3 linked regions of the Anolis sagrei genome follow. The protein of the gene in region 2 purifies or fractionates together with the protein of the main gene of each other region. This does not show direct contact. Links are inferred from orthologs where the notes say so. Each region holds a gene or a part of one and is shown on either strand. Other genes may lie near its edges. The genes, in order: NOP2, EBNA1BP2 and BRIX1.

The links.
Region 1: the proteins of EBNA1BP2 (region 2) and NOP2 fractionate together in Homo sapiens (co-fractionation; 3 studies listed by BioGRID and IntAct, with this or other methods). This does not show direct contact. The link is inferred for Anolis sagrei from reciprocal best matches to the Homo sapiens genes EBNA1BP2 and NOP2.
Region 3: the proteins of EBNA1BP2 (region 2) and BRIX1 purify together in Homo sapiens (affinity purification with mass spectrometry; 4 studies listed by BioGRID and IntAct, counting the BioPlex papers as one, with this or other methods). This does not show direct contact. The link is inferred for Anolis sagrei from reciprocal best matches to the Homo sapiens genes EBNA1BP2 and BRIX1.

Annotation. Positions count from the first base shown.
Region 1 is NC_090022.1:197,352,295-197,359,425, forward strand, and holds the start of NOP2 (28S rRNA (cytosine(4447)-C(5))-methyltransferase), read right to left. Parts: upstream 3,023-7,131; 5' UTR 2,945-3,022; coding exon 2,839-2,944; intron 508-2,838; coding exon 462-507; intron 1-461. UniProt on the Homo sapiens protein: S-adenosyl-L-methionine-dependent methyltransferase that specifically methylates the C(5) position of cytosine 4447 in 28S rRNA. Required for efficient rRNA processing and 60S ribosomal subunit biogenesis.
Region 2 is NC_090024.1:183,205,580-183,213,620, reverse strand, and holds the start of EBNA1BP2 (probable rRNA-processing protein EBP2), read right to left. Parts: upstream 3,020-8,041; 5' UTR 2,947-3,019; intron 2,417-2,946; 5' UTR 2,377-2,416; coding exon 2,302-2,376; intron 1,067-2,301; coding exon 983-1,066; intron 276-982; coding exon 109-275; intron 1-108. Other genes in the region: CFAP57 (cilia- and flagella-associated protein 57), read left to right, coding at 3,206-3,362, 6,335-6,651. UniProt on the Homo sapiens protein: Required for the processing of the 27S pre-rRNA.
Region 3 is NC_090022.1:280,049,629-280,057,464, forward strand, and holds the start of BRIX1 (ribosome biogenesis protein BRX1 homolog), read right to left. Parts: upstream 3,079-7,836; 5' UTR 3,036-3,078; coding exon 2,865-3,035; intron 2,588-2,864; coding exon 2,476-2,587; intron 1-2,475. Other genes in the region: cell cycle checkpoint protein RAD1, read left to right, coding at 6,580-6,774, 7,661-7,769. UniProt on the Homo sapiens protein: Required for biogenesis of the 60S ribosomal subunit.

The sequences.
Region 1 (7,131 bases), on a different chromosome or scaffold from region 2:
TACGGTGCACAAAGCAAAGTCAAAACCAAAGAAAACGGAATAGCTTTGAAACATTCAGGGATTATTTTTGGCTGAAGAACAGGCTATAAATGCTTTTAAGAAATGAATAAACAATTGGGTTGTTGTAGGTTTTTCGGGCTATATGGCCATGTTCTAGAAGCAGTCTCTCCTGATGTTTCGCCTGCATCTGTAGCAAGCATCCTCAGAGGTTGTGATTAATTCCATTAGGTGGCCTAAAATGACAGCCATCTATTGTTTATTCGATTGTAAATTCTCACACTTGATTTTAATCTTTAGTAACACACAATATAACACCCTGATATTTATGAGCAACCAACAAATTCTCAATAGGTTTGAGAAGCCGTATTTTAAAAAAGGATGTTATAATTTTTAACAGTTTATAAATGAAGAGGAAGTTATATTCTGAACTGTTAGCAAATTTTGGTGACTTTCCTACTAACCTTCGTCGTGCGTGACTGGAGAGCTTCTTTATATTGTCATCAGGGTCTTGGAAGAAAAACATAGACATATCAATCTCTATAGGAGGCTGATCAAGAGAGTAAGCACAGCTAGAACAACATCAAGAGCTCCTAGCTGAATTCAAGGTTGCATTCACACTGTAGAATTAGTGCAGTCTGACACCACTTTAACTGCTGTGGATCCATGCTATGGGACCATGGGAGCTGTAGTTTCATAAGGTTTTTAGCTTTCTCTGCCAAAAAAGGATGATGCCTCTACAAACCACATATCCCAGGATCCTATGGTGGAATGCACACTCTAAATCCTATACTTTAAAGTGTAGTGTGACAGAGATCTGTGTTTTCCACAAAAGGAGTAGCAGTAGGCCTGCTTTCTCACAGCTGAATAAAATCGCCCATTATCTGCTTTGAACTGGAATATATGGTAGTGTGGACTCAGATAACCCAGTTCAAAGCAGATATTCTGGGTTATCAGCCTTGATATTCTGGGTTATATGGCTATGTGGAAGGGCCCAAGGCAAAATATGCACAAAATCCCAACAAGGACAATGGCAAGATTTCCAGTCTAGAAGAAACATCGAGCCATAAGGATGGCTGCTGCTGCTATCATCATCATCATCATTAGTATTATTTGAAACACAACAAGATGAGTCCACAGCAGACGCAGGCTGTTGCATTGGATCACATGTCGGACACTTCCCAAGTGTCTAGGACTGTGTGATGTATTGGCGAATAATGTGTGCAGATCCCAGTAAGGTGGCCTTTTGCAGCTGGCAGATGGTAATCTTGTCAGCGCCGATTGTGTTTAAGTGCAGGCCAAGGTCTTTAGGCACTGCACCCAGTGTGCCGATCACCACTGGGACCACCTTGACTGGCTTGTGCCAGAGTCTTTGCAGTTCAATTTTTAAATCCTCATATCGTGTCAAGTTTTTTCAGTTGTTTCTCTTCAATCCTGCTGTCACCTGGGATTGCAACATTGACAATCCATACTTTGTTTTTAAACATGATTGTGAGGTCAGGAGTATTGTGCTCCAAAACGCTGTCTGTCTGAATTTGGAAGTCCCAGAGTATATGAAGCTCCTTTTACACTGCCATAAAATCCAGACCATCAAAGCAAAGGCCTGTACATATGTGCAAATGTTTGTGGATTCAGTGTTGTGAGTTTCCCTTTCATTGGCGGTATGATGCTTATTTAGCAGTAACTGTCCTGCCTCCCATATTTATGACCACAATTTGCCTTTCAAGAAAATCTCTCTCCTTGCCCTCCAACTGCCTAATCATCCTCTAAGGTTAGTGAGAATCCAGTGGATGCCCATTCTTCATTTAGACATATCAGAGATAAATGCTTTGATTAGATTGGCCCCTTCTAGACTGCCATGTAATCCAGATTATTAAATGAGATAATCTACATTACCTGTTTGAACTAGATTATATGTCTACACTGTCATATAACCCAGTTCAAAACAGATAATCTTATACGGCAGTATAAAAGGGCTGTAGAAACCAGTCCCATGACTGAACCACTTCAATTTCTCCCTGGAACTCTGTAAAACCCCGTCTACTGCCATATAATCCAGATGAATAAAGCACACAATCCACATTATCTGCTTTAAAGTGGATTATATGAGTCTACACTACCATATAATCCAGGTCCCTTCCCCACTGCCATGTAATTCAGATTATCAAAGCAGATAATCCACGTTACCATCTTTGAAGTGGATTATATGAGTCTACACTTCCATGTAATCCAGGCCCCTTCCACACTGCCATATAATCCAGATTATCAAAGCAGACAAGCCACGTTACCAACTTTGAAGTGGATTATATGAGTCTACACTACCATATAATCCAGGTCCCTTCCACACTGCCATATAATCCAGATTATCAAAGCAGACAATCCACGTTACCAGCTTTGAAGTGGATTATATGAGTCTATACTGCCATATAAACCAGGTCCCTTCCACACTGCCATATAATCCAGATTATCAAAGCAGACAAGCCACATTATCTGCTTTGAACCGGATTATATGAGTCTACACTGCCACAGAATCCAATCCAAAGCAGATAATCTGGATTCTATGGCAGTGCAGTCTCATATAATGAGTCCACTTCCGACCTGACAGAGCACTATATCTCCCACCCAGGATGCGGCTCCTTGAAGGGCCACGCACGGATCAAGGGCCAGGAACCCTGGGAGTTGTGGTTTCACAAGGTCTCCCGCCTTCTCTGCCCAAGAGGGCCGGGGCCTCCCCGCAAAGGGCAACTCCCGGGATGCTGTGGCGAGGGCTGTGCTCTGCCCCTGAGGCCTCGGCCCATCCCGAGGGCTTTCCACGGCCAAGGCAGCCCTGGCCCGACTCACCGGGAGGCAGGAACCCGGCCAGCTCCTCCTCGGCGCCGCGCTGCTTGCGGGCCTTGCGCCCGGGCCCCCGCTTGACCTTCTTCGCCGGGTCCAGTTTGCGCCCCATGCTGCTCAGGCCTCGCTCCCCGAAAGCGCGCACGTGGATTGCAGGCCCGCCTCCTCCTCGGCCACGCGCACTTCCGCCTCAGGAGGAGGCTCTCATTGGCCACGGGGGCGCCTTCCGCTAGAGCTCTCCGCCTTGGGATTGGACAGCGGGTGATACGCTTCTGCGTCCGGAATAGGTTAAAGAGGGTGCGTTCCACTTTAAATCCTGGGGCTTGTGGTCTACGGAGGAACCAGCTAGACTAGCGAGATCTTTTCTTCGCCTCTCTGAACTACAAGTCCCATAATTCTGCAGGAGGCAGCTACAGGATTAAGGTGGTATGCAGTGCTTTGCCTACTCTTTAAAACAAAGTCCTCCAGGTGTTTTGGACTTCGTTGTTGTAAGTTTTTCGGGCTGTATGGCCATGTTCCAGAAGCATTCTCTCCTGACGTTTCGCCCGCATCTGTGGTAGGCATCCTCAAAGATTATGAGGTCTGTTGGAAATTAGGCAAGTGAGGTTTATATATCTATGGAAAGTCTAGGGTGGGAGAAAGGACTCTTCTTTGCTTGAGGCAAGTGTGAATGTTGCAATTGGCCACCTTGATTAGCATTTGATGGCCTAGCAGATTCAAGGTGTAGCTTCTTACTGCCCGGGGGAATCCTTTGTTGAGAGCTGATTAGCTGTCCCAAGCCCCCGGTGGCGAGGTGGGTTAAATCTCTGTGTCGGCAGAACTGAAGACCGACAGGTCGCAGGTTCGAATCCAGGGAGAGGCGGATGAGCTCCCTCTATCAGCTCCAGCTCCTCATGGGGGGACATGAGAGAAGCCTCCCATAAGGATGATAAAACATAAAAAATAATCCGGGCATCCCCTGGGCAACGTCCTTGCAGACGGCCAATTCTCTCACACCAGAAGCGACTTGCAGTTTCTCAAGTCGCTCCTGACACGACCAAAAAAAAGAAAAGCTGTCCCAAGAAACATGAAAGGCAGGGCAGACTCGTTCAATCAGAGAAGCCAGCCATAGCAGAGCACCTGATGAGCCAACCTGGGCACAGCATATTATTTGAGAACACAGAAATGCTGGACCACTCTCACAACCACCATGTCAGACGACACAGAGAAGCCACTGAAATCCACAAGCATGTAGACACATTCAACAGAAAGGAAGAAACCATGAAAATGAACAAAATCTGGCTACCAATATTTTAAAAAAATATCAAAAATCAGGAGAGTAAACAACACTCAAGAACAGAGGAACTCCAGACAAGAAACAATCATGGCTGAAAAGACATGTCCCAAAGTATCCGAAACAGTTTAGAAATATTACAACCATGTTGCTACCTTACGAACTCAGTTGTAGAATATCTCAGTAGTAACATACACGTAGATATAAAAAAGCACTTGGCTAAATATATTTGCATGTTCATACTCTGTATGCTTTGTTTCTGGCTTTTTTTTTTACTCTGTCCTAACAGTAGACTATCCTTTGCAATTTAAACAAGTAGAACAGAGCTTTACAATCTGTGTGTTGTACTGTGTCAACTGGAGTGCATGGGTGTGTTGCGCGAATGTTAACACAAAACCTCTGAGTTTTGTGTTACATTTTTATTTACAAAAATAAAAATATGATGAACCAACCTGGACACAGCATATTGTTTGAGAACACAGAAATGCTGGACCACACCAACAACCACCATGTCAGACTACACATAGAAGCCATTGAAATCCACAAGCATGTGGACAATTTCAACAGAAAGGAGGAAACCATGAAAATGAACAAAATCTGGCTACCAGTATTTAAAAAACTCTAAAATTACAACAGCAAAACAGAGGGGAAACAATCAGGCACATCCAATCACCTCTCAACAAAAGATTGCCCCAGGCACTGCCAGGGCCATCAAATGCTAATCAAGGTGGTCAGTTGAAACATTCACACCTAACTCCAGCAGACAAGAGTTTTTTGTCCTACCCTGGTCATTCCACAGATATATAAATCCATTTTCCTAGTTTCAATAGACCTCACTACCTCTAAGGATGCTTGCCAAAGATGCAGGCAAAACGTCAGGAAAAAAATGCCTCTAGAACATGGCCATATAGTCTGGAAAAACCTACAACAACAAAAAATAAAAATAAACGATTTTCATGAGATATGTTGTGATGCATGTGTAAACAGTGTGTCACCAACATGAAATGGTTGGAAAGCTCTGTAGGCTATTTCTGCCATTTCTGCTTGTCTCACGATTTTACTTGTCTTATAGTAGCTGTTTGGACCTCCAAGACATCAGCAATCCTGCGCTTGTGGTCCTGAGGGACTCAGGCCTGTGCCTAATTTAAGCCTATCTACCCGCCTGCCCACTCCAACCCCAAATTCTTGTTTAAGGAGAAAATGCCCTGGGATATGCAGATTCTAGTGGATAGTAGAACATTAGCTGTGTTATATAGAGCTTCCTAGCGAAGCCATTACTATACTATACTATACTATACTATACTATACTATACAATACACCCAAACTATGTAATGATGGTACAGTTTGGGTGTTGTTATTGTTGGAATGCAACCCCACACTGATCAAGTCTCAAGCCCTCAATGAGGAGAAATTGGTTAGCATTAGAATAGTCTGAGAGTTTTCCTTTCCCCCATGTCTCCTGTATGACAGTTGGGAATGTGTCTGTTTTCATCTCTTCTTTCTGCTCTCATTCTTTAAATTGGATACTTTTCTACTGCAAACCTTTTTGAATCAGACTTCTGCCTTCCTACACTTTAGTATGGAGAGTATGTGCTGTGTGCTTTGAGATCTCTCTCTGCTTGTGTGTCAGGAGAGATGTAATGATTGAGTTTTCTCTTCTGTTGAAATGTTAGAAGAGATGGATGTTGGAGTAGCTCAGACCCAGTTCTTTACCATGAAGAAATATAGGTAGTTCATTATTATCTATATAAATAAAAATGTAATGTTCGTTTGTGGGATTAACAGAACTCGAAAACCACTGGACAAATTGACACCAAATTTGGACACAAGACACCTAACAACCCAATGTATGTCCTTCACTCAAAAAATGATTTTGTCATTTGGGAGTTGTAGTTGCTGGGATGTATAGTTCACCTACAATCAAAGAGCATTCTGAACCCCACCAAGGATGGAATGGAACCAAACTTGGCACATAGTTCTCCCATGTCCAACAGAAAATACTGGAAGGGTTTGGTGGGCAGTGTCCTTTGGTTTTTGGAGTTGTAGTTCACCTACATCCAGAGAGCACTGTGGACTCAAACAATGATGGATCTGGACCAAACTCTACACAAATACTCAATATGCCCAAATGTGAACACTGGTGGAGTTTGGGGAAAATAGAATCTTGACATTTAAGAGTTGTAGTTGCTGAGATTTGTAGTTCACCTACAATCACAGAGCATTCTGAACCCCACCAATGATAACATTGGGCCAAACCTCCCACACAGAACCCCCATGACCACCAGAGTGGGCCACAGCAACGCGTGGCAGGGGACGGCTAGTTGTAAATAAACCTTTTGTGATTTTTTAAAAGATTGGCTCCTAAGCTCTGAATTCTCTACAGCCATATCACTTGGCTTTGCTTGCTAATGAGCTGATGCTCAACTTTTTGTATCCTGATTGTTTTTGGATGCTCTGCTTTATTTCGCATAGTTTTCCCTAACAATTATGATCTTAAAGCAAGTCATCAGTACACAAATGGAATCTTTGAGATTTCATAGATTCACACAATACCATTCTGGGAACAAAAGCATTGCATTAAGTAGCTAAGTACACGTACTTATACATCAGCTTTACCAGTTTGGAAGAGATTCTTGCAAACTTTCCCCACTTCTGACAACAGTAACTCTCAGGCTGATTCATGGCAAAAAAACCACAGCTGAGACTAAAGTACAGAATCAGCAACTGGTGCTCCCTCCCATAGTCTGATAACCATCTGCTTGTATACAAAACGTTTATGGAAAAAACAAAATATATTTGATTAGCCCTTTCAAGAATTAACCTCATAAATCCAAATCAGACTGGAGTTATTATTTGCGATCCTCACAAAACGTGAGAGCTGATCATTTTAACCTAAAAGCAAAGCCTGGCTGCTGCTTGGGTGGTTGCCAGGCTAGAAGGCACTTAACACTGTAAAAATCCCCCAAATAGTTTGACAGAGGCAAATAAAATACAAGGAAACCTTTATTTTCAATGTTATCAAGAT
Region 2 (8,041 bases):
AAGGGTTTAACTTAGGGTTCCAACTTTTGTTATGTTAAGAGGATAAATAAAATACAACACACAAAGCTTCCAATTACAGTGAGGAAACTCAAGAAGAAATAGACTTACAAACTCATTTCTCTTTTGAAGTCATCCTCAGGATCATCAGCATCATTGTCAGTGGTTTGATTAGAAGGAGCACTCGTGGTGTTTGTTGGCAGGTAAGAGGTAAGATCAAGCCTTTCAACCCAGTCCAAGTCCCTCTGGAACTCAGATAAGCACTGCTTCAGTCCATTCTAGGAAGAATATGATGTGAGGATTAGAGTAATACAAAGAACTTCCATACACTATTTAATAGTTTTTTCCAACCTAGTGCTCTTCACACATGTTGAACTACAACTTCTTCCAACATGTTCAGCCAATATTGGCCATGCTAGATCTGCATGATGTAGATTCTAGTGCAGCACCTTGGGGAAAGGCTGTGCTGTCATGACAACTAAAACAATCGTATGAAAATCCCCACCCATCCCTAAAACCATCAACTAGATCTTATGCTGATAAAAGCATTCCCTTAAGATTCCCATTAGATATCACACACTGTATTTACTGCTTCCTAGCCAAGGAGACACCAGGTTTTTTTAAAAATAAAAGCTTTTCCTAGTCATAAGCTATAAGCAAAAATGAAGGTGCTTCTGCCTCAACAAGGACAACATCAACAGAAATTGATGCAAGCTTCTCTGTCTTGAAGAAAAAGAATAAATGACCACATTTTATATCCTTGACAGAATGTTTCAAATTGATTTTGCTATGTGTAGCAAATAGATACCAATGTATTTAAATGACCCCCACCTCCAGTTCAATACCATCCGGAGTTTATTTGCAATGACTTCATTCTGGCAAAATACTGGGGTTTTTTTCAGTAATCAAAATGTTCCACTTGGAGAAGTAGATGAACCACACACATGAACTGATTCCACATGGGTCACAGTCATACAGGACTCACCACATTGTTGATAATTTTCGGCCGTCCCTCAAGCACAACATTTAAGCCTGGCTTTAGTGATCCTTTAGAAAACGCCTGCTGGAGCTACATAAAGAAATCTTATATGTACATTTTCTTGGATAGTGTTACCATACACAAATATCAAAAAAGCTTATTTAGTCACCCCTTTGATAACGGAAAGGAATGTGTAAATGCTCAATACATAGAAACATAAGGAGAATGAGGAGAATGATCAAAAGATATAATGTAGTCTTCCAGATGTCATTAGACTACAATTCACATAATTTTTCTCCACAAGGTATGCTAATTAGGGGGAAAGGAAATTGCAGTTGACTATCTGAAGGACCAAACCACACATTCCAGTTCCAAATAGTCAATGCAGAAATCTATTTTATATTGACATGTTCTGACACTGCATTGTCATTTGGTGGACACTTGGTCAAATCTTTTTTCCTCAAGTTTTGACACAATGAGGTTCTTTCATACTCCGTTTCTTGCCTTTAATACAAAAATAACACTATTTAATCGGATATTCTCTCCTATCTTGTTCATGCCTAACATTATTTTTTTTAAACTTTGATTTGGCCCAGCCATAGATTTTAAATGTGTGTTGTATTACTGTCACTGTTTATTGCTTTTTTGTTTATGAGCTTTATTTTAATTGTTTTTATTTTTGTTGTTATTGCTTGTATTGATGTATTTTGGGCTCGGCCTCATGTAAGCCACACCGAGTCCCTTGGGGAGATGGTAGTGGGGTACAAATAAAGTATTATTATTATTATTATTATTATTATTCTAATCGAGATAATCTACATAAAGTTCTTTGCACCTTTAAAATATTGTTCATAAAGATGAAATATCATTAGGTGTTATTGATATATTTAAATACAGTTTCCAGCTTCTATTACTGTGAAATGAAGTTGTGCATCCTACACACAGCTATTACAACAATGTAGCATCCTTGCTCTAAACAAGATGAAAAAATGGCCTTCCATCGCAGCCTATGAAGAGAAATGGTTACCAGGGCCAATCCCAAACTGATATGGAACTCATCTACAACTCTCAGTCCTTTACGTCACTAGTTTATCACAGTGGTTTTCAACCTTTGGTCCTCCGGGTGTTTTGGACTTCAACACCCAGAAATCCCAACCATTTTACCATCAGTTAGGACTTGTGGGAGCTGAAGTCCAAAACACCTGGAGAACCAAAGTTTGGGAAACAGTATATTATCAGATCCCCTACTCAGCCATGCCCCTAAGAGAGAAAAAGTGGCCCGCCCCCACTCCTGCACAGAACAAACAATAACAGTCCAAACTCACCTCACGGTCTGTAACAAGAGACTCATCCGAATCTGAGGACGACGACCAATCTTCGTCCATTTCCATGTGGGGCATCTCAGATCCTTTTATGATAACTGGATTCAACTAAGCTGCACTGAAAGGCAAAATAGTTAGAAAACACATTCCATCCCCCAGGAACATGAGCTAAAATGGGAGTAACTGCACAAATAACCTAAATGCACGAGATCAAAACAACTTATTAATGCAAGCAATCCAAAATACTGGCCAATACAGGTATATACCATAAAAATCCAATCTAACCATCGCTAATAATAAATATGCATCCCATTATGATTCATTCAGACTAGAGTAAGAAAGATAGGTGATTAAATGTTGTATAGGTTGAAAAAAAAATACTATCTTTGTATAAAGTTAGTCTGAACTGTTTCCTCCCCAATTTTGGAAACAGGGTGCATCTACACTGTAGAATTAACGCAGTTCAATATCGCTTTAGTCTTAAACTGCACTCTATGCGAGGCATGGGCAAACTTTGGCCCTCCAGGTGTTTTGGACTACAACTCCCACCATTCCTAACAGCCTACCGGCTGTTAGGAATGGTGGGAGTTGCAGTCCAAAACACCTGGAGGGCCGAAGTTTACCCCAGCCTGTTAGAAGCACACTTACCTCCCACCGACTGAACACGAGGAAACCATACAACAGCTACTTCCGGTACGGATGTGACGTCCTACGGGACATTTCCGATTCGTTTCGGCCATCTTTTTCGAGGGTGCTACATCCGGGACGCTGTTGCCATAGCAACCGGCTGTAAAGCGTTGTCTCCCTGGTCGACTCAAGGCTGCAGACAGAGCAAGCGAGGCCGAGACGGACTGTCAGGCGGTGGTTGCTCTCGTTTTTCCGGCACAGGCTCCGAACCTGCGGCGCCATGTCGGTGATCGTGGCCCAAGCGCTGCACATCTTTGGCTTCCAGTCTCGCGTGGCCAATAACATTTGTTTCTTTGACGAGCAGATCATAGTGTACCCCGCGGGGAATAGCTGCGTGAAGTATCACATTGAGCAGAAATGGCAGAAGTTCATCCCAGGTAAATCTAGCCACCTCCCTCCAGGTGTATTGATGTTTTCATCCAGTGGTTCTCAACCTGTGGGTCCCCAGGTGTTTTGGCCTTCAGCTCCCAGAGATCGTAGCAGCAGTTAGATCCTAACAGCTGGGATTTCTGGGAGTTGTAGGCCAAAACACCTGGGGACCCACAGGTTAAGAACCACTGTTTTAATCCATCTCCATCAGGCATGGGCAAGCTTCGGCACTCCAGGTGTTTTGGACTTCAGCTCCCACAATTCCTAACAGTCTCAGGCCCCTTGCTTTTCCCTCTCAGCCACTAAAACTATGACATCTAACAAAACTAAATCTAAAACAAACACACAACTACTAAAACTATTCTACAAATTTCACATTCAGTGTGGTGTTGTTCATTCATTCAGTCCGACTCTTCGTGACCTCATGGACCAGCCCACGCCAGAGCTCCCTGTCGGCCGTCACCACCCCCAGCTCCTTCAAGGTCAGTCCAGTCACTTCAAGGATGCCATCCATCCATCTTGCCCTTGGTCGGCCCCTCTTCCTTTTGCCTTCCACTTTCCCCAGCATAATTGTCTTCTCTAGGCTTTGCTGTCTCCTCATCATGTGGCCAAAGTACTTCAACTTGGTCTCTAGTATCCTTCCCTCCAATGAGCAGTCGGGCTTTATTTCCTGGAGGATGGACTGGTTGGATCTTCTCGCAGTCCAAGGCACTCTCAGGACTTTCCTCCAACACCACAGCTCAAAAGCATCGATCTTCCTTCGCTCAGCCTTCCCTAAGGTCCAGCTCTTACATATTCAGTGTAAACCTATCATATCATGCAGTTCAATGTCTAGCTGGCCATATAATGCAGTTCCAAGCTGTTTGATATTGCAGAGTATATCCAGCCCCAATCTGTTGATATTTACCCCCTAATTATCCTACTTCCTTTGGATAACACTGTATCACCACACCTCTGTGTTTCATCACATTCCTCTAGTCCAGTGGTTCTCAACCTGGGGTCCCCAGATGTTTTTGGCCTTCAACTCCCAGAAATCCTAACAGCTGGTAAACTGACTGGGATTTCTGGGAGTTGTAAGCCAAAACACCTGGGGACCCACAGGTTGAGAACCACTGTACTACATACTACATTCCCCTTTGGAAATGGGCTGGGGCTGGGGGGCTGGACCCAGACAGAGAGTGTAAGCGAGTAGGGTGTAAGTGAATGGAAGCAATCACAGTGTAGAGGAAAAAGACCTGATGAATGCTATTTTTCCCAAAAGGGATGCCAAAATCTGCCCCTGTTCAGAACTCAGAGGCAGTTCTGTTTTGCCTTCTGCTGTCTATTCAACAAGTTAATATTTTAAGTCACTGGTGAGTGTGTTTCCAGAGGCTATTATTATTATTATTATTATTATTATTATTAACTTTATTTGTACCCCGCTAGCATCTCCCGAACGACTCGATGGGGCTTACAAAGGCCAAGGCCTCAAAACACAACATAACAATACACAACCTAAAGCAAATTAAAAAATTAAAAACAGTTAAAGCAGAATTACACAACAAGCAATAAGCAATACACCAAGACACTGGGCCGGGCCAGAGTAATGGGTACAGATCAAAAGTGCTGAAGTGACAGGTGATATGTAAGGATTATAGAGTAAGTGCAGTGTGCCAGCAATCTTAATTCTAATAAAGTGCTTCTGGGACTTGTTATTGGAGTTTTCCTATTCTGGAAAGGCACAGGGTGGAGTGGGCCTTTTCCAGTCTGTTTCAGTATACATACTGCTCTAGTCCCAGCATGGGCAAACTTCAGCCCTCCAGTTATTTTGGACTGCAACTCCTACAATTCCTAACAACTGGTATTTATTTATCGTGTCAGGAGCGAACCAAAAGGTTGTATTGTATTTTACACAAAGTTTGCAGACTTGGTATTCTATTAAATGTTGTTTGACCAGTAGCTGGCCACTTGGAGTGTCTTAGGTGTTACTATAAGAAGGTTCTCCATTGTGCATGTGGCAGGGCTCAGGTTGCATTGTAGTAGGTGGTCTGTGGTTTGCTCTTCTCCACACTCGTGGACTCCACTTTGTAGCCCCATTTCTTAAGGTTGGCTCTGCATCTCGTGGTGCCAGAGCACAGTCCATTCAGTGCCTTCCATGTTGCCTAGTCTTCTGTGTGCCCAGGAGAGAGTCTCTCATGGTATCAGCCATTAATTGAGGTTCTGGATTTTAGCCTGCCACTTTTGGACTCTCGTTTGCTTAGGTGTTCCAGTAAGTGTCTCTGTAGATCTTACAAAACTATTTCTTGATTTAAGGCGTTGGCGTGCTAGCTGACATCCAAACAGGGGATGGGCCGGAGATGTTACTGCCGTGGTCCTTTCACTATTGGTTGCTACTTCCCGGCGGATGTCAGGTGGTGCAATACTGGCTAAACAGTGTAATTTCTCCAATGGTGTAGGGCGCAGACACCCCGTGATAATGCAGCATGTCTCATTAAGAGCCACTGATTTAGCGTGGTGAGATGTGTTCCACACTGGGCCTGCATACTCAGCAGCAGCGTAGCAAAGTGCAAGGGCAGATGTCTTCACTGTATCTGGTTGTGATCCCCAGGTTGTGCCTGTCAGCCAGTAGGCTGTTAGGAATTGTGGGAGTTGAAGTCCAAAACACTGGGAGGGCAGATGTTTGCCCATGCCTGCCCTAGTCTAATGCATTGAAGATTTCCCCCATCATTGCTGTGAATTGGTGGTTCAATTGCATTGAACTATGGCAATTAAAGTGATGTCAAACTATCTGCATTTTACAGTGTAGCTGTACCCGTAGATATGGTTCTGCCAGTTCCTTCCTTTGAAATGTAACCCACACACCTGATATTCATTGGCAGTCTCCCATACAATACCAACATGCATTGATTTATTGTCATTTTGGATAACAAAAATGTTTAAGTTTCCAGGTTATGCTCATGGAAGTTTTGCTTGTATGTGCACATGTGTGTTTGCTTTACAGGCTCAGAGAAAAGTCAAGGGATGCTTGCACTGGCAATTAGTCCAAATCGGCGCTATCTGGCCATTTCAGAGACACTCCAGGATAAACCTACTATCACAGTTTATGAACTGTCCTCTGTCCCATGCAAGAAACGAAAGGTCCTGAACTCCTTTGATTTCTCTGTCCAAGAATTTATCAGCCTGGCATTTTCCCCGGATTCTAAGTATCTAGTGGCACAGACAGGGGCCCCTGATTCACACCTTGCCTATTGGATGTGGGAAAAGCAAAGAACAATGGCTATTATTAAGGTTGATGCTCAGAACAATCCCCTCTATCAGGTAAGATGAAAGACAAAGATGAATATCCTGGGTAGGCCACATTTAAATAATACTCAGGTACTTACTCTCACTGCATTATTACTTCAATGAATACTTTTTCACAATTGGAGACCACAGTTAGTGAAGCTGTGATTGTTACAATGGTGTTAACATGAAATCCAAGCTCCAAACTTCCTTTTGCACAATGTTTTCCTGTACTCAGAAGGCAGGGTACACACATATTTTAGATCAGCAGTTACACTTAAGGCAGTACTGTCCTGCTCTTCCAGTTACTGAATGTATATCCAGTAGTCTTTGTTCATAAATTGCATGTCCCCAAAATAGTCCAAACCTAGAATTAGGTCTCGGTTTGAGATTGTTGTGATAGAACCCCATCACTATAAAGAAGCGCAGGACAGATTTCAAAGCACTAACAATCCAGTCTAGAAATTCCAGTATATGAAGCTGCCTTAGGTTAGTCATTTTGATGATGGCTCGGCTCTGCTCATGAAATTGGCATTATGTGTAAACATTTCTAATGGAATATCTCAGGTATAGAAAAGTAGAGATTTCCATAGTTCCGGTTCAGTCCTTGGGTGCTTATTTTTTTGTATTTTCCTTCACAACATAAATATAATGTTCTGGAGACAAAGCCTCAAAAGGGTTGTGGGTGGTGGATGTAATCAGCACACCTAAAATCATGAACCTGAGCAAGAGTTTCTCTGACAAATATGTTCCCATACATCAGGATCATACTGGCTTCCTAATCACAAATGAAGGCCTCCCTCATGTCCTTTCGAAAAAGCCTTAAGACATGGCTGTTCGAGAGGGCATTTAATTAATTAAGTGCTAAACAACAAAACAATACGGTAATGAGAACTGGAATGGAACAAGGAATATGAGACTGGCTATAATTCCACTAAGAGACAAAGCGGATTTTTAGTGTAGTCTGTAATTTGTTGTATTGTTTATATGTTGTTGAAAATGGCTTTTGTAATTGTCTTTTATGTGTACTGTACGCCGCCATGAGTCGCCCTTACGGGCTGAGAATGGCGGTTAATAAGTGCATCAAATAAATAAATAAATAAATAGATTAAAAGAATCCTCCTAGTCATCTTCAGCCTACCCTGTGTTTAAATATACATATGTTATTCCTGACTGCTGAAGATTTCTTGGCACACATTTTGTAAGTCTTCATGGTCTTATATAAACAAATATCAGTGCTTCAAAAAGTTCTGAACTTTTCTGATTGGCAAGAAGACAAGAGATCAAACTTAATAACTTGTCACTAAGTGACAGGATAGTGAAGCAAATACTAAATCGTATGTAAATAAGAAAGCAGCTGCTATTTTTTTGGTTTATGACATCATTAATGAGCTTCTGCTTAATACAGTAGAAATGTTTCTTAGAG
Region 3 (7,836 bases), on a different chromosome or scaffold from region 2:
CATAAGTCAGCATCACTGAATCAAAGAATTGGAAGATCCCACAAGGGCCTTTCCAGTCCAAACCCCTTCTGTCATAAAGGAAAAACACAATAAAAGCACTCCAGACAAATGGCCGTTCAGTTTCTGAATAAAAAGTTCAACCATGTTCTGAGGAAGCATATTCCACAGCTTAACTTAACATCAGGATATTCTAATTTTCCTGCAATTTGAATCCATTGCTCTGTGTCCTGCTGTCCAGAGCCACAGAAAACAAGCTTGCCCTCTCCCTCAATGTGACATCGGCAAAAGTATGATAGCTAGGACCCAACGAACCCTATGGCAGTTGCACAACCCACGTCGGAATTAATGAAGGGAAGTCTGCTTGGACTGTTTCCAGCTGCTGGGGCTGCTTTCTTCGAAGGGCAAAAAGTGTGCTGGTGGCCCGGAAGGTTTTTACAGGCCCTAGTGCAAACAGAGTGGCAGGCACGGGATCCCACCAACCCTTCCCCTTTTCTTCTGCTTTTCCCCACCCGCTTTCTGACAGTGGAGGAGCCAGGGCTACGGGAGGGCTGGATGTGTGAGCCCTACAACAGATGTGATTGGTGGGAACGAGAGACAGGGCCTTCTCAGTGGTGGCCCCTCGGCTATGGACCGCCTTCTCTAGGGATATTAGATTTGCCCCCTCCCTCCTAACATTCCGAAAGAGAGTTAAAACCTGGCTGTTTGAGCAGGCATTTGCAGACACAGTATAACTTATTAATTAAGACTCATGGAACAATTGGACGACGTGACGGAAAAATGATTTTAATGATGGGACGCTGAGGACTTGTGCTTTATGGCTTTATTCTTTTATTGCTTTTATGTTTTGTATTATACGTAATGTTTTTGACTGTATTTTATGTTCTGGGGCATTGACTGCCGACTGTAAACACCTCACGTCGCCTCCGGGCTGAGAGGAGTGGTATACAACTATAGTAAATAAATACTATATTTACAAATATAGTAAATAAATATTATTGTTTATTTATTTAAATAAATAAATAAAAAAACACAGCTCCTCCTTCCCTTGCAGCTGCATCTCTGACTTGCTGCGCTGTCTCGCGCACGTCTTCCCTTCATGAATTCTGGCCCACGGTGCGCAACCAGCGTAGGGTCCCAGCTATCATACTTTTGCTGTTACATTCTTTCAAATATTTAAACACGACTCTCATGTCTCTTTCTCCAAGCCTTTCCTCATAGGGCTTGGTTTCCAGACCTTTCTGCTTACTAGAGAAACACCACTGGAGAAATTACACTGTTTAGCCAGTACTGCACGATCTGACATCTGCCATGAAGTAGCAACCAATAGTGAAAGGGCCAAGGTAGTGACATCTCCAGCTCATCCCCTGTTTGGATGAGCTGGAGTCAGCACATCAACGACTTAAATCAAGAAATAGTTTTGTAAGATCTACAGAGACACTCGCTGCAACACCTCAGCAAGCGAGAGTCCAAAAATGGCAGGCTCAAACCCAGAACGTCAATCAATGGCTGATATGTAATGAGAGACTCCCCCCTGAGTACACAGAGGACTGGGCAACTTGGAAGGCGCTGAACAGATTGCGCTCTGGCACCACGATATCATAGAATCAAAGAGTTGGAAGAGACCTCATGGGCCATCCAGTCCAACCCCCTGCCAAGAAGCAGGAATATTGAATTCAAATGCAGAGCCAACCTTCAGAAATGGGGCCACAAAGTGGAATCCATGACCTGCGAGTGTGGAGAAGAGCAAACCACAGACCACCTACTGCCCTGCTACATGCACAATGGAGGACCTTCTTGCAGCAACACCAGAGGCACTCCAAGTGGCCAGCTACTGGTCAAAGGACATTTAATCCTATGAACCAGTTAGGACATTAAGATTGTCTGGGGAGGCCCTGCTCTCGATCCCGCCAGCTTCACAAGCACGCCTGGTGAGACGAGAGACAGGGCCTTCTCAGTGGTGGCCCCTCGGCTGTGGAACGCCCTTCTTGCGGATATTAGATCGACCCCCTCCTTACTGGCATTCCGGAGGAAAGTAAAGACCTAGCTGTTTAAGGCATTCGACTAAGCAGTGTGACTAATTGACTGATTATCGGAACACGGAATAATGGATAATGAGTTTGGATTCTGATTTCATTGATGAGACCTGATGGATTTGTTATATTGATGTACTGATGTATTGATGCTGATGTTTAATGATTTGTGATGCTATTGCTTTTAAATGCCTAATGATTTTGTATTGTGTATACCTAAACTGTTGTAAACCGCTCTGAGTCGCCTAAGGGCTGAGAAGAGCGGTATACAAATAAAGTAAGTAAGTAAATAAATAAAATAATAAATTAATCAACTACCAAGCTTGCAAACTTTGTGTTTTGTTTGTTTGTTTGTTTAAAAATGCAATGCAACTGTTCGGTCTGCCCCTGACACGATAAATAAACAGCTTACTAGAAACCAAATACATGCAATATCTGAAATTACCTGCTTTGGAGTGAGGCATCAGTGTTCGCAGGTCTTTCATCAGGTGCCTTGTCCTAAAATTTATGCCTCTGGAGGAAAAAATGAGCACCCTCTCTTTGTTTTTCCATTTGCCCTGAAAGATACAAGGACGATACAGATCAGTTCTGGGAAGAGGGGGAATCGCCTTGAACATTACATCTCTAGATACCACATGAGGTGCATCTACACTATATGGCTGAATGGTATAGAACAGTACTGGGCCAACTTGGGCCCTCTCTCCAGGTGTTTTGGACTTCAACTCCCACAATAGGCTGGTAGGCTGTTAGGAATTGTGGGAGTTGAAGTCCAAAACACCTGGAGGGAGGGCCCAAGTTGGCCCAGGCCTGGTGTAGGTGGAATCTCCGTCTCACCTGCGAGACCGGGGCCGGGATGTGGTGCTCCTCTGGGCCCGGCCCTCCGGCAGGAACTTCTTTCTCTTCCCTCTTGGCTTTGGCCTCCGGAGCCTTCTTCGCCCGCTTCCTTTTCGGCCCCGCCGCGTTGCCTTGCCCGGCGCCTCCACGCTGCCTCTTGCCCGCCGCCATCTTTGCCTGCCGCCCTCAGAGGAAGCGGAAGTGGCGTCACCAAGCGGACGCTCCAAGAATTCATCAACCAGAGAGTTCCATCCCTAGGCACACACTTCCGGCTTGATCAGAGGCTGAGAGCAGGAGGGAAATATGGGTTCATATTAGGTCGAATGGCATTGTGAGTTTCTTAAGAGAATTTCAGCAAGAGTTGCTTGTGACCTGGGAGGCATCTACACTGTGGAATTAATGCGGTTTGGTCCCGCTTTAACTGCCATGGCTCCAGGGATTTGTATTTTAGTGCAGTGACTGGCAGAGAAGGCTAAAGAGCCTTAGCTTTGCACGTTTCTCAGTCTCTCTGCAATTTATGGCGACCCCATAGGTTTCAGAGGGCTTTCTTTGGCAAGGGACACAGAGAGGAAGCTTTGCTGCTCCTCCCCCTGTCGCTGCAGAGCGAATGAGAGGCTCTTTTACAACTTGTCGTAAAGCAACTACTACCAGTTGCTTTGCATTTCCCTGTCGTGCCTTTTCCACCTTTCAACCAATAGGCTGGCAATTCCTCTTTGGCTGCTACCTTCCAGCTGTCAAGCAGGTAAGGCTCACTTATCATAGAATCAAAGAGTTGGAAGAGACCTCATGGGCCATCCATTCCAACCCCCTGCCAAGAAGCAGGAATATTGCATTCAAATCACCCCTGACAGATGGCCATCCAGCCTCTGTTTAAAAGCTTCCAAAGAAGGAGCCTCTGCCACACTCCAGGGCAGAGAGTTCCACTGCTGAATGGCTCTCACAGTCAGGAAGTTTTTCCTCATGTTCAGATGGAATCTCCTCTCTTGTAGTTTGAAGCCATTGTTCTGCGTCCTAGTCTCCAGGGAGGCAGAAAACAAGCTTGCTCCCTCCTCCCTGTGGCTTCCTCTCCCATATTTATACATGGCTATCATATCCCCTGTCAGCCATCTCTTCTTCAGGCTAAACATGCCCAGCTCCTTAAGTCGCTCCTCATAGGGCTTGTTCTCCAGACCCTTGATCATTTTAGTCGCCCTCCTCTGGACACATTCCGGCTTGTCAATATCTCTCTTGAATTGAGGTGCCCAGAATTGGACACAATATTCCAGGTGTGGTCTAACCAAGGCAGAATAGAGAGGTAGCATGACTTCCCTAGATCTAGACACTATGCTCCTATTGATGCAGGCCAAAATGCCATTGGCTTTTTTTGCCGCCACATCACATTGTTGGCTCATGTTTAACTTGTTGTCCACGAGGACTCCAAGATCTTTTTCACTCGTACTGCTCTCAAGCCAGGCGTCCCCCATTTTGTATCTTTGCATTTCGTTTTTCCTGCCAAAGTGGAGTATCTTGCATTTGTCACTGTTGAACTTCATTTTGTTTGTTGAATTTTTGCCTGGCTTTGGATGCATCTACAGTGTAATATTAATGTAGTTCAGCATCTTTATTAATAACTTTGATCAGGGGTCCTCAAACTTTTTAAACAGAAGGCCAGGTCACAGTCCCTCAAACTGTTGGAGGGCCGGATTATAATTTGAAAAACACATGAATGAATTCCTTTGTGCACTGCACATGTCTTATTTGTAGTGCAGAAAACAATTAAAACAATATAATAATTAAAATTAAGAACAATTTTAACAAATATAAACTTATTAGTATTTCAATGGGAAGTGTGGGCCTGCTTTTGGCTGATGAGATAGGATTGTTGTTGTTGTTGTGTGCTTTCAAATAATTTCAGATTTAGGTTGACCCTGAGCGAGGGCCGGGTAAATGACTTGGAGGGCCATATCTGGCCCCCGGGCCTTAGTTTGAGGACCCCTGACTTAGATGAAGGGTTAGAAGGCAGGATCATCAAGTTTGCAGACGACACCAAATTGGGAGGGAGAGCCAATACTCCAGAGAACAGGAGCAGGATTCAAAACGATCTTGACAGATAAGAGAGATGGGCCAAAACTAACAAATGAAGTTCAACAGTGACGAATGGAAGATACTCCACTTAGGCAGAAAAAATGAAATGCAAAGATACAGAATGGGGGATGCCTGGCTCGAGAGCAGTACGTATGAAAAAGATCTTGGAGTTCTCGTAGACAACAAGTTAAACATGAGCCAACAATGTGATTTGGTTCCAAAAAAAAAAAAAAAGCCAATGGGATTTTGGACTGCATCAATAGGAGTATAGTGTCTACATCCAGTGAAGTCATGCTCCCCCTCTGTTCTGCCTTGGTCAGACCACACCTGGAATCACACTGTGTCCAGTTCTGGGCACCACAATTGAAGGGAGATGTTGACAAGCTGGAATGTGTCCAGAGGAGGGCAACTAGAATGATCAAGGGTCTGGAGAACAAGCCCTGTGAAGAGCGGCTTAAAGAGCATGTTTAGCTTTCAGAAGATAAGGCTGAGAGGAGACATGATGAGGGCCATGCATAAATATGTGAGGGGAAGTCATAGGGAGGAGGGAGCAAGCTTGTTTTCTGCTGCCCTGGAGACTAGGGCGAGGAACACTGGCTTCAAACTACAAGAAAGGAGATTCCATCTGAACATTAGGAAGAACTTCGTGTGAGAGCTGTTCAGCAGTGGAACTCTCTGCCCCGGAGTGTGGTAGAGGCTCCTTCTTTGGAAGCTTTTAAACAGAGGCTGGATGGCCATATGTCAGGGTTGCTTTGAATGCAATTTTCCTGCTTCTTGGCAAGGGGTTGGACTGGATGGCCCATGAGGTCTCTTCCAGCTCAATGATTCTATGATTCTAGTTTCATACTGCCATGGCTCAATGCTATGGGATCCTGGGAGTTGTAGTTTGGTGAGGCACCAGCATTCTTTAGCAGATAAAGCTAAAGACCTCCCATGGTCTCATTGAGCCATGGCTGTTAAAGTTGTGTTGATCTGCATTAATGTGCAAACTTCAGCCCTCTGGGTGTTTTGGACTTCAACTCCCACAGTTCCTAACAGCCTACTTGCTGTTCGGAATTGTGGGAGTTGAAGTCCAAAATACCCTGAGGGCCAAAGTTTGCCCATGCTTGGTGTAGTAGATGCACCCTGTGCCTCCCAAAAGCGGTGAAAGTATAATAGCTTGGACCCAGTGGTTGCATAACGCGGCTCTGAATTAGAGAAGGGAACACGTGCACCAGACACAGCACCATGTGTGCGAGAGACTGCACTTAGTGAAAGATGAAGCTACGATGGAGTCAACAAGGTAGTTTGGTAGAAAGGGGGGGAGGCACAGCCAAGCATACTGATGTAGGCTATCTGGAGATATTCAAAAACGTTGTTGCATTGGAAGGAAGGATAAAAAGGAAGGGAGAAATATGAGGAGCGGTGAAAAATGAATTAAATGCGGTCACTCTTACATTACTTCACTGGTATCCTGCCGCAGCTGCGTCTCTCACTCGGTGCACTGTTTCGCACATGTTTTCCCTTTTCTAATTCAGAGCAACTGGGTCCCTGATGCTCATATAATATTTTATGACTTCTCAATTTAACTATAATGCAATTGGATCTTTACAGGTCTCCTCTGGGAATCCCTGCCCTTGGAGGGGAGACTGTGGAGTGACTTCTCCAAGCCATGCCTCTATCGACTCAAGCAGAAACAGGTGAAGAACAGAACGTTTTGGTAGCAAATCTTGACAATGTCAGGAACCTGTCCAATATCCTGAAAGCCATTCATTTTAAAGATCACGCCACCTGTGTTGCTACTACAAATGGACTCAAAGTGACAGTCGAAAATGCAAAGTGTTTGCAGGCCAATGCATTTATACAGGTGAGATGGCAGCATTTCCTTTCCTTTTAGTGCTCTGGAATGACTTGGATTCAGGAGGAGGAATTAAAGGAACATTGGGAATAACATGTGAAAGTCCTATGGGAGATAGCAGTATCTGGCAAACTAAGGGCCCTGCCAGACAGGCTCTATATCCCAGGATCAGATCCCAAGTTTTCTGCTTTAAACTGGATTATATGAGAGCCCCTTCCACACAGCTGAATAAAATCCCACATTATCTGCTTTGAACTGGAATATGTGGCAGTGTAGACTCAGGTAACCCAGTTCAAAGCAGATATTCTGGGATGTTGTGCCTTGGTATTTTGGGTTATATGGCTGTGTGGAAGGGCCCTGAGTTTGCACTGCCATATAATCTGGGATAAACAGAAAACCTGGGATTAGATCCTGGGATATAGGGCCTGTCTTAAAGGGCTTTAAGGTTCCTTCTATACAGCCATATATTAGGGCCCTTCCACACAGCCATATAACCAAGAATATCAAGGCAGATAATCCATAATATCTCCTTTGAACTGAATTATCTGAGTCCACACTGCCATATATTCCAGCTCAATGTTGCTTTTATACAGCTGTGTGGAAGGGGCCTTAGTCTACAATACCATATAATCCAGTTTAAAGCAGATAATCCAGATTTTATATGACAATGTAGATGGGGCCATAGAGTACTGTACTGTGATAGTAATGAGATAATACGATCGAATGAGGAAAAGGGAGTTTTGTTTAGAAAAAAAAATCCCATTTTCTTTTTTGGTTTTGTTATTCTGAGTTGGGTTACAAGGACACATGCATGGTAAATTGCCAATTTAATTGTCTTACTATAATGTTGGTACCGGTTGAAATTTTTCAAGTTTCTTGTCTTTCCAATTTACAGGCAGGTATTTTCCAAGAGTTTATGGTTCAGGAAGAATCTGTGATGTTCAGAATCAACCTGTCTGTTCTTTTAGACTGCTTGACCATCTTTGGAACAAGTTCGTCCCCAGGTATTTCCTCTATGTGGGTTTTGGTAGATTACATTCACCAAGCCTATTATACAAGATGCTCAACTTG